Mus musculus: one gene and its partner. The main gene of each other region encodes a partner of the protein of the gene in region 2 in a complex. Links are inferred from orthologs where the notes say so. Each region holds a gene or a part of one and is shown on either strand. Other genes may lie near its edges.

The links.
Region 1: the proteins of Rab11fip1 (region 2) and Rab14 are in contact, whole or in part, in a crystal structure (PDB 4D0G), measured with the Homo sapiens proteins. The link is inferred for Mus musculus from reciprocal best matches to the Homo sapiens genes RAB11FIP1 and RAB14. Residues at the interface, in NP_001002814.2 of Homo sapiens: Glu1252, Ile1255, Asp1256, Asn1257, Leu1259, Val1260, Met1263, Pro1267, Asn1268, Leu1270, Arg1271, Ile1272; in NP_057406.2 of Homo sapiens: Leu28, His29, Ile44, Gly45, Val46, Glu47, Phe48, Gly49, Trp65, Arg72, Arg74, Ala75, Val76, Ser79, Tyr80.

The regions. Positions count from the first base shown.
Region 1 is NC_000068.7:35,179,339-35,185,747, reverse strand, and holds the end of Rab14 (ras-related protein Rab-14), read left to right. Parts: intron 1-1,916; coding exon 1,917-2,004; intron 2,005-2,324; coding exon 2,325-2,355; intron 2,356-3,300; coding exon 3,301-3,478; 3' UTR 3,479-5,543; downstream 5,544-6,409.
Region 2 is NC_000074.6:27,152,360-27,160,060, reverse strand, and holds part of Rab11fip1 (rab11 family-interacting protein 1), read left to right. Parts: intron 1-3,391; coding exon 3,392-3,834; intron 3,835-5,125; coding exon 5,126-5,915; intron 5,916-6,901; coding exon 6,902-7,701. UniProt on the Homo sapiens protein: A Rab11 effector protein involved in the endosomal recycling process. Also involved in controlling membrane trafficking along the phagocytic pathway and in phagocytosis. Interaction with RAB14 may function in the process of neurite formation.

The sequences.
Region 1 (6,409 bases), on a different chromosome or scaffold from region 2:
TGAACAGCAACAGTTTGGTTGCAATTCCCACTTCAGTGACCTGGTATTCAGCCACACTGAAGAAGCAATTAGGGTAACAGCATCAGCTGATAAATCTGAAGAGAATTTTGCTGAGTTTAAAAAATCTAAAAGGCTTACATATTCTATGATTCTATTGACATATTTCAAAATGACAGTATTGTAGATAGATAAAGAACAAACTAGTGATGGCCAAGGGTTGGTTAGTGACAGGTTAGGTAGTTGATAGAACTGGGAAAAAACAGCCAGAGCAGTTTCTTGGTGATGATGTTGATAATTCTGTGCCCAGATTGAGGTGACAGCCAGAGTCTATTCTAACACTGCACAGAGCCACATGTGGGTACAGCCACATACACTTTTGAAAAACAAACAAACAAAAAACACTGGTATCTTAGGGCAGTAATTGTACCAGTGTTAGTTTCTCGTTTTGACAGTATAATGTAGCCCTGTGAGTTACTAAAAAATTTTGAAAATGTTTTTTGAAGCACACTTTATTTATATTACTATGTTTCCTATGAAATTGCCTTTTGTTTTTATGGGGAAAGTATGTATTCTTCATTTTTGTTAATGTTTTGTGCCACTTTGTTACAAGACTACCTCTTGAGGGAGGGAGGTGGGCAATGAAGATTGGAGATTGATATGTAGTTGGGAAAGAGAAAATACTTCTTTTTGAAGAGAGTTGTGGTAGAGTGGAGTGTTGGAGATTAAAACCATAGCTGAGTGCCTGCTAGGCAAATGCTTGCCCATACTGAAGATAGTATTTCTTGATTTGAATGGGTTTGATCTTTTTGTTAAGTGCCATTATTTTATTGTTCAAATGACTATGAACATTATTTTCCCTTGTCAGTAGTCACTTGCACTTTGAAGAATGATTTTATTATTGCTGCTGTTGTTGTTATTGTTGTTGTTATTATACCCATGTAACTTACTTGGAAATAATTGATTAGTTCACTGGACCCAAATATTTGAAAGTGGAAGAGACAAGTACAAGTACTAATTTTATATGGAAAAAAAAAGTTGGGAAGCACTTTTTTGTTGAAATCATTGATTCCTAACCTCTGTATCTGGTTAAAGGGGGCAGGAAGTAGAAGAGGGGCTGATATCTTCCCCCTTTGTGCTTTAAATAACAAACAAAACCCCTTTGTTTTCTACGGCTACCTTTAGTCTTTTAACAATTTTACTCGAGTAGGTAACTCCAAAGTAGATGACAGAGTGTGGTATTTGTTCCAGGATTTGAACCTATTGCGTATTTATCCCATCCTCAGCTTCTTTCACAGACACACGCATTGCTGATAAGTTGATAGAAATTTACACCTCTCCTGGGATAGTTTGTCTTTAGGTCACAGTTTGCATTCTCTAAGGTTCTAATGCCCTCTTTGCTAACTCTGTCTTGAATTTAAGGGGAAGGTAATTACTGTTACCCTGAATGAATTAAACTAGTGGTTTTCAAGTTTCCTCAAGGTCCCAGAATCTTTTGAGAACTGAAAGCTATAAGCCTTCTCCAGGGAGTGTTCATGGTAACAGCACTTTGCACTTAATTTTAGGGCCTTCTTATTAATTTTGCTTATTTTTTTTTGGCCTAGACCAGATATGAACAAATTGGCTTGTGAGCCATATTCACCTAATGAATGACTTTTCTATTTTTAAGAGATTTGTGACAACAATAAAAATAATATTCAGCAAGACTTGTGTGGGGCCCACAAATCTGAAATATGCCTTCTCTTCCTTACAGTCATTTTTCAGAACCTGAGCCAGCTTGTTGTGAAAGTTCTGCTCAGTGTTCTTGCCTTATGCTGTGTAGTCCAGGGCTCATCTTTTTTTCTGTCAAGGCTTTTGTATTTGAGAATTTTCATAGGTATTTTTGTTCTAAGATATCTTTTCTTTTGTTCACGAATTAGGTAATAATTCTCATAGGAAATAAAGCAGACTTGGAAGCACAGAGAGATGTTACCTATGAAGAAGCCAAACAGTTTGCTGAGGAAAACGGTGGGTTTGAGACTTAACACTCTCCTATGGGATTTTTTAAAAGAAAGGAGAATTAGATCATGCCGGCTATTCGAATTTTGTTTTTTTAACTTGTTCTATTCAGAAATCTCAATAAGGAAATAAAGTGTTTGTTTCTATGATACCTGTTAGTAGTAGTGCAGCTACTGAGTGACAAGTACTGATCTGCCCCTGCACCTCAGACACGTGCTCCTTCATGAGGGCTGGAGTAGGAGTACTGACAGCTGTGGGGCCTACTCACATGTGACTGGAGCACTCCTGACTCTGCAATGTCCTAATTTTAGTCTGAATTTTATTTTTAGGCTTATTGTTCCTTGAAGCAAGCGCAAAAACGTAAGTATGGCTAAAATGTAGATCATGTTTCAGTTCCATGCAGAGTAGAATCATGTGCTGTGTAAGTGAGTGATGCTGTAGACAGGCGTGGGAACTGTGCTGTGTAGTGAGGCCGTGGACAGCAGGAAGAGCAGTGAGCAGAAGAAGCTCCTGTTTCACTTTACAAGAGAATGGGACCCTTTTACTTAAAGGGTTGTACCTCATTGTGTCCACTGGTAACCCAGCTTAATAAATGAAACTGTGCTGACATCTCACAAGTGTTTGACTCTCACAGCTGAGGTTGAGTTTGGTATCTTGAACATGCACTGGGCCAGCATGTTCACACAGCACCTTAATGATTCAAGGACTCCATACTTAGTGACTAATGAGACACAGCGAACATTTCCTGATTGCCTTGGAGTTTAGCATTGATCCCAGCACTCCCAGTCATAGTTCTGTATCACACCAGGCAAGGACAGGCCAACCTGTTCATGTTATTTATCTCTGCTGTTGGTCCCAAGAGAACTGAGCTGTGAACATGGTTAAACATGACTATGTCACCATTGCATGATAAAGATAGCATAGTTTTATACATGGCTGTTCATAAAATAATGGAAAGCCTGGAATCCTGTCGGTACATTTGGAGAAGTTTTATTTGGAGCACCTGCTCATTTCAGAGTGGCCGTCTCAGTTTTCATGCAGTATATTAACAGAGCCCTGCAGTGAGTAGACGATGTAAATATGCAAACTGAGCTTTAGAAACAGCTTGGTACTGGGTTGTTTACTCACCACCAAAAACATTTCCTATGTTCTCTTAGCTCAGTCTTCTGGTAATCTCTTATTAGATGACAGTGGCTAAGTGGAAGACATCATGGCAGTTGACTAAAGGTTTAGCAGGTCAGTGTAAATGCCTTACATTTTCTAGAAAGCTGTGCTTTGTAAATAAAGTTGTTGATTGTCTCTTAGGGGAGAGAATGTAGAAGATGCTTTTCTTGAGGCTGCCAAGAAAATCTATCAGAACATTCAGGATGGAAGCCTGGATCTGAATGCTGCCGAGTCTGGTGTACAACACAAACCCTCAGCCCCGCAGGGAGGACGGCTAACCAGTGAACCCCAACCCCAGAGAGAAGGCTGTGGCTGCTAGTGACCTCTTTGCTCTGGCCCCTCATTTGACCTTTCACCTCTGTCTGTTGGAAGCAGTACTTTTTACTGCCTCCTTGTCTTCTGTACATCTTACTGGGTTTAATTAAAAAAAGAAAAAAGAAAAAACAACTCTTGTAAAAACAGTTTAACAATACTAAACTGCTAAACATCTAGATGTAATCAGGTTATCAAAGGCAAGTAGAGTAATAAATCTCTCCTGCATGGTAAATCTAGACTTTCCCCCTTTGATTGTCCTTGTGATAGGTTTGTCACCAATATATGATTTAAACTGAGCACTGCTGCTGGACCTGATTTTTACCTTCCCTTTTGGCAAGGCTTTGTCTCGCTGTACGGTTTAAATTTGATCTTTTCAGCCTTCCTCCCATCTTTAAACTGTTGAGTATGTCTGTTGTAGCCAGTAAGTTCATTGCTGTGAAATGACTTTGGATGGTAGAGAAAAGGGGTCTGCAACTGCTTTTGTTTTTGTTGGATAAATTCCCTGTTGTAGGGGTGGCATTTTTCTTGATGAGGTTTGCTTCTGTCTTAGCCTTGCACAGGGAAAAATACCCATTTATCTTTTCTTGTGCTTAATTAATAGCTTTATCTTTTTTTTTTAATTTTTACACTATTTTATCCTTTTCTCTTTAACAGAAAGTAAATATGTATAAAATTTGAAGGAACCTAACTAACAATACCTTCTGTGTATATTATTTTAATGAAGAAAATAAATTGATTACTGGCATTGGAACAGTATAAAATACCAGTTTGTACAGTGTGACCTATATGTGACCATGTTACTCTTCCATTTCACACACGGAAATAAGACACAACAGCAGCTCACAAGTAATACTGGCTCCACTCCTTGGTGCTGGCAGTGTTTGGGGACAGACATAATGCTGGAAAGAGCTCCTGGCATCAGCGGAAACACTAGCGGATTCTACTCCATCTTTGCACTGTGGCATACCTGCTGATTTTCTTAACTGTTCTTGTGTAATCAACGCGCTCACCTGCTTTTCTTTTTGTAAACATTTTGTGTTATAGGCTGCATTCTTGCCTTACTGTATAGGAAAAGGAAGAAGGCTGGGTTTAATATTGCACATTTTAAGCTTTTATACCTTTATCTTGGAATGGTCAACTTCTGGACCAGATAGCCAGAACCACAGGTCTGCTGTTAAGGGATTTTAAATTGTGCGTTTTTAACACTACAGTGAGATAATTTAGTATTATCCTTTGTGTTCATAGTATGAGGGGCTATCTTATGTCATGTTGGCATAAATTATTTTGTAAAAGGGAAGGTGTTTCTAAATGTGTATGCTGACATCATGTAAGTTGCTACTTTGCACTGGGTGGTCTGGCCACGGAAAGAACGCCTTGCAAGAGAAACAGATCTCTAGGCAGCATCTGCTTCACTCAGTTCTTCCCTTCTCTTGGTTGGTTTCTAGCTGAGTTTAAAGTGGCTGGGAATTGAGAGGTCATTGGAAGTGCACGTAGGTAAGCCCCAGCACATTATATAAAATGCTCTCTGCTCATTGCTGTGTTAAAATACACATTTTAAATCCCTCTTTACCAGACACTAATGTAAAAGTACATCTTCTGGATTATAAACATGTGGTAGTTCCAGAGTTTTGTATAGTCAATGTTAAATAAAAGCCAAAACTGGAATGTGCAGAAAATAGGATTCGGTTTTCTTGTGGATTCACCTTTTTGTCCTTGTTTAACTTAAAGGAATCTTGGAGTAGACTGATCTATTCTGTTAAAGATGTAGAGTGATCCATTTGCTTACACTGTTGCATCACAGGGGATTCGCCCAGGGACCATGACCTGCTGGTGTGTGTATATATTTACAAAACAAAACAAATCACCCATCGGGACATAAGGTAGCAATCACAGAGTGAAGACCTTCGGCTTGTTTAGGTGCAATACCCCATTTCCCAAAGTGACAGTGGGTCCTAATTGTTTTTGTGACAGAAGGATTTATTCAGACTGCTGTACTCTTCATTTGATGTAACAAAATGCTATTATCTAAATATTTGTAAATAAAGTACCTGTATCTAGATTAAATTGAACATAGTTGCATTATTTTTGATCTGTAAGACTTTTCAGATGAATATTTGAACTATCAGTTTTTACTACAGCATTGCACTTAGTGTATGGTGAGGTCTGAGTAGCAGTAAAGCTACCAATTGAGCTGGAGTTTCATCCATGTATGTTGCATCTTTGAGGCCAGCACATTGCTAGCTAATAGTGTTCTCCCTTTTCTGTATATGGGGCCAAATTCTATTTGTTTGTGTAACCAGCGTGTAATAAATTTGGGAGCTTAAAGATAAGCAGATTGTCATAGTGCAGCATCTGTGAGCCAGTGGATCTGGGCAGAGTGGATTTCTGTTCATTTTTAACCCACAAAAGCTTGTCATTGTGCAGATGCCTCCTCTGGCTTTCTCACTCTGCTTTTGCTGTGGAGGAACCCCTCTGGTGGTAACTAGTACTCCAACACAATGTGGAGTTGATTTTTGGTGTTTTGTTTTGTTTTTGAAGTAATAACGTGTTCAATGAAATGATGGCTGGAAGGAGTTGGGTGGTGGTGGTCACATGGTACTAGTAAGGCTATACAAGGTTTTTTTAAGATGTCCTCTGGTTGTGTTGGTGTGTGTGGTTGGTCAGACCCAGGATTCTGCACAAACTAAGCAAGCAGCCCCCGGCTGTAGGTTTTGAAATCAGGTGTTTTGAAAGCTCAGTTTTGAGAACTGCTTTAAATGTGGCCTTAAATAGATGGTGTAGTTCCCTCATCATAAACAGAAAAAAAGACCAGGCAATTTCTATTACTATTTATGTGGTAGTAGAGATGAAGATTTATGTGGGAATAAGACTACTTCACCTTCATTAGGTCCTATTCCTGTACTGTGTCAATAGTTGGGATTAGTCCATACCTTTA
Region 2 (7,701 bases):
ATCTCGCGTGACTTTGTTGGTCCTGGCTGCATCTCTTGATGCATTTCATGTTTTTTCCTGGCAGTTCTCTGTGCTGGATCTCCATTGGTCATCTTACAGATTATGGCTGGTGGCAAGCTATGGTGGCGAGCTATGCTGGCATTTCCCTCTCTCCTTTTATTGTGGGATGTTTAAATTGAAAGAGTCTGGGCTGGGCTTTCCGCTCTGTATTAGAGCACTTGTCTACCACCCATGAAGCCTTGCAGTTCGTCCCTAGCACCCCACCACCACCCACGCACGCACTCCTGTACGCACACATACCCACACAAAGTGGAGGGGAAAGCGGCTCAAACTCTGCCCAGAAAGAATTTGAAAGTGAATCAGGAGAATAAGCTTAAAGCAAGCCTTCTGGTCAAGGAGAATGGAGAGGGACTCAGAGAATGGAGAGGGACTCAGAGAATGGAGAATCCTTGCCAGGTCTGCAGCAGTGCTGGTGGCATTTTCTAAGCTTTGTTTCCCTCCCCTGTAAAGTGAATGCACTTCCCCGGCCATGCCATCCTGTGAGGTGCAAGTGTGGGAGGTGCAGGGCATGCTGGGAGTGCTGCTTGAGGGTTAGGGTTCTACTTTCCTGTGTGCAGACTGAGTCAAATAGCTGGGGGTTGGAGGGTAGAGAGGGTGGGGGAGGGATTGGCCTTTGCTGAGCTACAGTCAAAGGTGAGAGAGGAAGTTGTGCTCATTTGGACAAAACCATCATTTCCTTAAAGTCCAGGCTCTAAGCTTTTAAGTAGGTCACTGAAGAAAACAAAACAAAACAAAACAAAAAAACCCAGTAAGTTCTCCATTTGTGAGGTGGCCTGTGGGTGGCTCTCTGGAGGCCAGGTATTGGGAGTTGTTGTTCCTCAATGGCCTGCAGTGAATTAGGCTCCTAGTTCACTAGAGATCAGGTTTCCAGAAGGAAAATGAATGCCAAGGAGAATCCCCCTTCCTGAAGTTTGCAGTCAGGATATGTCTGGTACCCTGGCGTTTGAAGTAGTTTTGAAGTAGTTTTGCAGAGGGCCATGTAAAATGTTTAAATGATGTTTGCAATATTGTTTTATGATAGCTAAGTTAGAAGTGAATACTTTCCGGTCAGGCTTTCATTACTTCAAACGGTTATAAAGTACAATCATGGGCTGGTGAGATGGCTCAGTGGGTAAGAGCACCCGACTGCTCTTTCGAAGGTCCAGAGTTCAAATCCCAGCAACCACATGGTGGCTCACAACCATCCCTAACGAGATCTGACTCCCTCTTCTGGAGTGTCTGAAGACAGCTACAGTGTACTTACATATAATAAATAAATAAAAAAAAAAAGTAAAAAAAAAAAAATAAAGTACAATCATATAATTACATAATGTGAAAGTATATAATAGAAAATATAATAAAAATTATATAATAACGACCCTATTGAAAGAAAATATGACATTGGAACTATCCCCCCCCCCCCAAGACAGGGTTTCTATGTATAGCCCTAGCTGTCCTGGAACTCAGTGTAGACCAGGCTGGCCTTAATCCCAAGTTCTGGCATTAAAGGCATGTGCCACCACTGCCTGGCTAAACATACCAGAATTTTTAACAAAGAAAAGAAAACACAGAGACATGCCCACAAAAAGCAAAACCTACAAAAACACAGAAATCAGAAACCATAATATACAAGCAAAAGATCAGTAAGGTTTAAAAAAAAAAAAAAAACAAAGCAAAACAGACAAACAACAACCTGAGACAAAAGGTCGACAGAAATACTACTGAGATCATTCGTGTTGGCTAATACTGCTGGGCACGGGGCCTGTGCGTCAGTGTGGTTTGTATATCTAGGGAGACTCCCTTGGAGAAACTAATGTTTCCTTTGCAAGCTGTTGTCAGTTGGAGATAGCTTTTGGGTTAGGGTGGGGGCTTGTGTGCACTTCCCCTCTCAGCACTGGGACCACCTGACTTGAACCTGTGGTGCCCTGTGCATGCTGCCATAGTTGGCATCAGGACCTCTAAAACCTGTGACATCACATAGGCAGGACCTACAGACCTGTTGCCAAGACAACGACCACCATATTCCCAGAATCCACTTGGCTCACTTCCCACCTTTACCTGTGTTGTGTCATTATCCATACATTCAGGGGAATGGCCCTCCCCAACCCTTCCCCCCTTTTCTTTCTGCCACCACCCTCCTTGCCTCTCTCTCTTTCTTTCTCCCAATAAACCTCTTACACATGGAACTGTTTTGGCCTGGGGTGCTGTGTTCAGACGAGAGCAGCTATTCTAACATACCAGCCTCCATCTCTGTGGGACCATATGTGTGTCCAGCCTGTTATCTCGAAGGCCTTCTTAATATTCTCCATTCCCTCTGGCTTTCATAACAGAGTTCCTGAGCCAAGGGGAGAGGTTTGATGGAGACCTCCCACTTAGGACTAGTGGTCCAAGATCTCTCGCTGTCTGTATGTTGTCCGGTTGTGGGTCTCTGTTAATTCTTGTCTTTGGGGGTTTGTTTGTTTGTTGAGGTAGGGTCTCATTATGTAGCCCTAGCTGGCCCAGAACTAGATAAACAAACCAGGCTAGCCTCAGACTCACAGAGACATGCCTTTCTCTGCCTCACAGGTGCTTGGATTAAAGGCATGTGCCACCACACCTGAGGTAGAGTCTTGTATTTTCTAGGCTGACCTCAAGCTCCTACCTTGCCCACCAACTATCCCAATAGCTGGGACTCCAGGCCTGCATCACTGTGCCAAGCTCTTGATTTTTAGAACTAACTCATTATTGGGTTATTATTCTAGCTAATTATAAGGGTTGAGGGTGGAACTCAATGGTACAGTACTTGTATAGTGTGCTCAAGGCCCCAGGTCTAACCCCTAGTAAGATGAATGTGCTAAGTACACCAGACTACGTATAGTCTAGCGTATGGGCAGAACGACTTCTTAGAGATAAGCGTTCAGGGCCAGGGCCAAGTGTTCTGTAGCCTGTTCTGCATGCCGGCTTCATTCGTTCGATCCCTTGGTCTACAAAAATGAACCGATAAGTAAAAGCGAAGTTCTCTACTCTCCCCTCCATTGAGACAGAGTAGAAGTGCTTTGTGGGGCTGGAGAGATGGCTCAGTGGTTAAGAGCATGGATTGCTCTTCCAGAGGTCCTGAGTTCAATTCCCAGCAACCACATGGTGGCTCACAACCATCAGTCATGGGATCTGATGCCCTCTTCTGGCGTGTCTGAAGACAGCTACAGTGTACTTGTCTAAGTAATACTAAATAAATAATATTTTAGAAGCGCATTTGTGTAAGAGGTTAGAGTGTAAGAGGTGAGAGCAACAGAGAGGAGAGGCTGCTGAGGGGATCAGGAGCCCTGCTAGAACTGCTTCCATCCAGAGCTAACCTCTTCCTCTCCTCCTTTAGATGGTACACCCTGAAGTCCAAACCCGGGAAGAAGGACAAAGAGCGCGGGGAAATCGAGGTCGACATCCAGTTTATGAGGAATAACATGACGGCCAGCATGTTTGACCTCTCCATGAAAGACAAGTCCCGGAATCCATTTGGAAAACTGAAGGACAAGATCAAAGGGAAGAATAAGGACAGCGCCTCGGATACCGCCTCGGCCATCGTCCCCAGCGTGACACCCTCAGTCGACAGTGACGATGAGTCCTTCTCGAAAGACAAGAAAAAGAAGTCAAAGATCAAGACTTTGTTTTCCAAGTCGAGTCTGCAGAAGACGCCCCTCTCCCAGTCCATGTCTGTCCTGCCCACTTCCAAGTCAGACAAAGTTCTGTTGCGGGCCGGAGACTTCCAGTCCCAGTGGGACGATGACGCCCATGAGGATGAGTCCTCCTCCGCCTCGGATGGTGAGTTCCCGTCTTTGCTCACTCACCCTCCTCCCCAGTTTACCTGACTGTGCTCTGAGAAGGGAGAGGGAGGCCTTGAGGTTTTAGTTAACTACAGTGATGATGGTGAGTGTTCTTCACAAAGGCTTTGTTTCTTACGAATCTCCAAGGGCTTGGCTCGCAGAATCAGCGCGTTTGAGGGTTTCTGCTGTTGCTGTTTTCCTCCCAGTCCTGGGGATCCGGCCCAGGGCCTTGAGTGTTCTCAGTAAGGGCTCTAACACGGCTCCTACTGTATATGAAAGAAGACTATAGGCCCTCGTGTGCGTCATGTCTCATTACTTTATCAGATAACTGCTGAGCTTTTATCGTGTGCTTGCCTCCTATGTGGTTCGTCCCTGATGGAAGCTCAGAAGTCCAGCCTCCTTAACTCTGAACTGTGTAATCTGAGCTTCAGCTACAATTACTGAAGCCCTTTTGGAGGTTCTGTTGCTCTTATCAAGAACGTGGCCTTTTCCACTGGTTTAACACTGGATTTCTTAAATTCTTCACCGCTGATTGTTCGGGCTGTTGTGTGTTACAGAGTGCTTAGGGTCCTCCTGTCAGGTACCATGATTGGTAATGTGTCCAGATGTTGAATAGATTGACAGATGCCCCTGCCGATCGCAACTGCTCATTCCCACCCCCCACCCCAACCCCACCCCCATCCCATCTCCTCCTGTCTTTGCAAGGCTGAGGTTCAAAATGACATCATCGTGCATGCTAATCAAGAACACCACCACTGACCTTTGCCCCAAATCCCTCTCATTTAATTTTTTTTTATTATTATTACTAGAGATTGAACCCCAGAGCCTTATGCATGACAGACAAATGCTTTAACTCTGAACTATATCCTCAGCCTCAATTTTGATTTATGTGTGTGTGTATGGAGTGTATGTGTGTGTATCAGTGTGTATGTGTGTGTGTCTGTGTGTGTGTGTGTGTGTATGGGTGTGTGTATGAGTGTGTGTGTGTGTGTGTGTGTGTATAAGTGTGTATGTATATGAGTGTGTATGAGTGTGTATGGATGTGTGTATGAGTGTGTATGGATGTGTGTATATGTGTGTGTGTGTGTATGGGTGTGTATGGGTGTGTGTGTGTGAGTGAGTGCACGCATGCCTGTAGGTCAGAGGGATAGCTTGTGGGGCATCGGTCCTCTTTTGAGCATGCAGGTCCTGGGAACTTAACTGAGGTCACTAGGCTTCGCGGTACATTCCTTTTCTCACTGAACTGTCTCTTCAGCACTCACCCCTTTTGCTGTTTCCTTTCTTCCCAGTCATGTCTCACAAGCGAACATCCAGTACAGACCAACAACCGAACCAGTCCAACTTCAGCCTTCCCAAGAAAGAGGGGCTTTCCTTCCTTGGGGGCCTCCGGTCCAAGAATGACTCTCTTTCCCGCTCTACCGTCTGTATCAACGGGAACCACGTTTACATGGAGCAGCCGGAGGCCAGGAGTGAGATCAGAGAGAGCAGCCCTTCTAATTCCCCATCCCCGCAGGGCTTCAGGAGGAAGCATTTGTTCTCGTCCACTGAAAACCTGGCTGCCCGCTCTCCCAAGGAACCAGGGGAAGGAGGCGGCACATCTTCTGACAGGCGACTGTCCGACTCTTCCACCAAGGATTCCATGAAGTCCATGTCTTTGCCATCCTACCGGCCTCTGACCAGTGGGGACAATAGAGAGAGCATGTCTCCAGCAAACGTGGAGGCTGCCAGAGAGACAAAAGACAGCAAGAAACAGGAGAGCAAGAAGTCCTCTTTGCTTTCTCTGGTGACGGGAAAGAGGGATGCGGCGGCTAAAGGCAGTGAAAGCGAACCTCTTCCCACTGTCTCAGAGAAAGAGAAGGAGAGGAAAGGCGCGCTCGTGGAAGCCCAGCTGCGGGAGGAAGACCTCATGAGAAGGCCTGAGAAAGATGCTCTACCTGTTGCCTCCCAGTGGGGCAGCTCCTTGAACCCCTTTGAGGACGTGCAGATCTCAGACCCGGGAGCCACCACGGAGTCCAGGTCGGAACCGAAACCACCAGTTCCTGCGGCCAGGGTTCCCCAGACCAAGGCTGTGAAGCCGAGGTGAGTCTTCGTCTTTACATATGGGGCCTTTCTCCACCACTGCCTGGTATTCAGCAAAGCCCCCGCTAGGACAAACCCGGCCGGTCTCAGGATGTGCGTGCAAAGGTTTGCTAGCCTCACGTCATTTGAACCAGGCCCCTCTGCTGGCCTGGCCTGCTCAGCACAAAGGGCAGGGCTTTTCCCAGCCTAAAGCTACAGCATGCCTGAGTGAAGGTTGTCCTCAGGGAGCTAGGCAGACTCCGGTGAGAGGAGACCACCGTCTGTGGCCGCTTCCGAGCGTGTGAGCGGAGCGTGCGTGCTTGTGGTGGGTACAGGCAGGGCCTGTGTTTTAAAGGTTTTCAGTGCTGTCCTGTGGAGATGGCTGCCTTTCCTCCTGGTGCTTGGGGTCAGTTTGCTGGTGTGAGAGACCTGGGTCGGCTCTTTAGACCGTTCTCTGTCTCCTCTGTGCCTGATCGTTAGAGCCTGCCTAAGCCGGAAGGAGCGTCTGCTTTTCTGAGTGACTCTCACCTTGACCTTGACCTTGCTCTGGAATGGGGGTGGCGAGACAAGCTTTTTGGGGATTCTGCAATGGATGCACTTTCTCTCCAGAATCCATACTTGTTGCCTTCCATTATTTCGATGCTTTTCGTTCTGTCATAGTCAACTCTTGGGACTGAGTGTATCTCAGAAAGAAACTGTAGGCTGTCGGCTGCTCTAGCTGAATCTTTCCATTTCTGTTAGAACAGACCCGTGTGTGACGGCTGTGCTTGGCGCTAAACAGTGTCTCTTTCTGTGGGGAGACTACGCCTCAGTCGTGGAGGATTCACATAGCAGGCACGGGGCCCTGGCTTCGACTCCCCAGCACGAATGATCAATTTGTATGTCAAGAAGTGCTGTTTCCTTCACCTTGATCATTAAAAACCTGTCCCTCCCTAATGACTACTTTAATATGTGTCTTGAAATGCATCTGCCACTGACCTGCAGATTTTATTTTGTCCTTTTTGCAGACTGGAAGTTTCTCCAGAGGCTCAGCCCAAAGCCAGGCTTCCCTCCCCCGACTCTGCTCTCTTTGCCCCCTTTCCCTCTGACTCTATTCAGCCTCCTGTCCTTTCCGACTTGAGATGTGACTCAGAGACACAGTTCTCTGAAAGTCCTTCTGCCTCCTCTTTCTTGTCCCCCTTAGCAGCTCCTATCTCCACATCCACTCCAGTCGAGCCCTGGCCCACAGGCCAGGGTGAGGCCGATGCTGAAAAACCTTCCTTGCTCCTCAGAGCAGTCCCTAGTTTAACACCGGCTGCAAACACTGGTTCTTCTGCCTCGGGATCACCTTGTGAACAACTTCCTACACCTGTGCGGAAGGGGACGGAAGAGGCGTCAGGGGACACAAGGAAGGAAGCTGGCAGTGATGAATCGGGAAAGACCCTCATGACAGAGTGTGTGTCTTCTGTGGATAATGTTCACGATGGCGGAATGACTACAGCAGGGGAAGAAGCAGCGCCCCCTCTTCTAGAGGACGAGGCCTCCTCGTTTCACCGCATCGCACAGAAACACGAGGGGATGCATCAGAATGCCAGCGGAGGGCAGAAGAAGGGCAAGAAGCGCGTGTCTTTTTCTGAACAGCTTTTTGTGGAAGAAGAAACAGAAGGACCCACTAGGCTTGAGGAGGAGGACAGAGGTCATGCCCAGCAGCTGACACAGGAAGGGCCTGTTGCTGGAAGCGTGCTCCGTGCAGGGTCTCCAGAGTCTCCCCACACAGAAGGCACAGGACAGGAACCTGTGACCGCAGAAGCTCAGCCTAACATTTCTT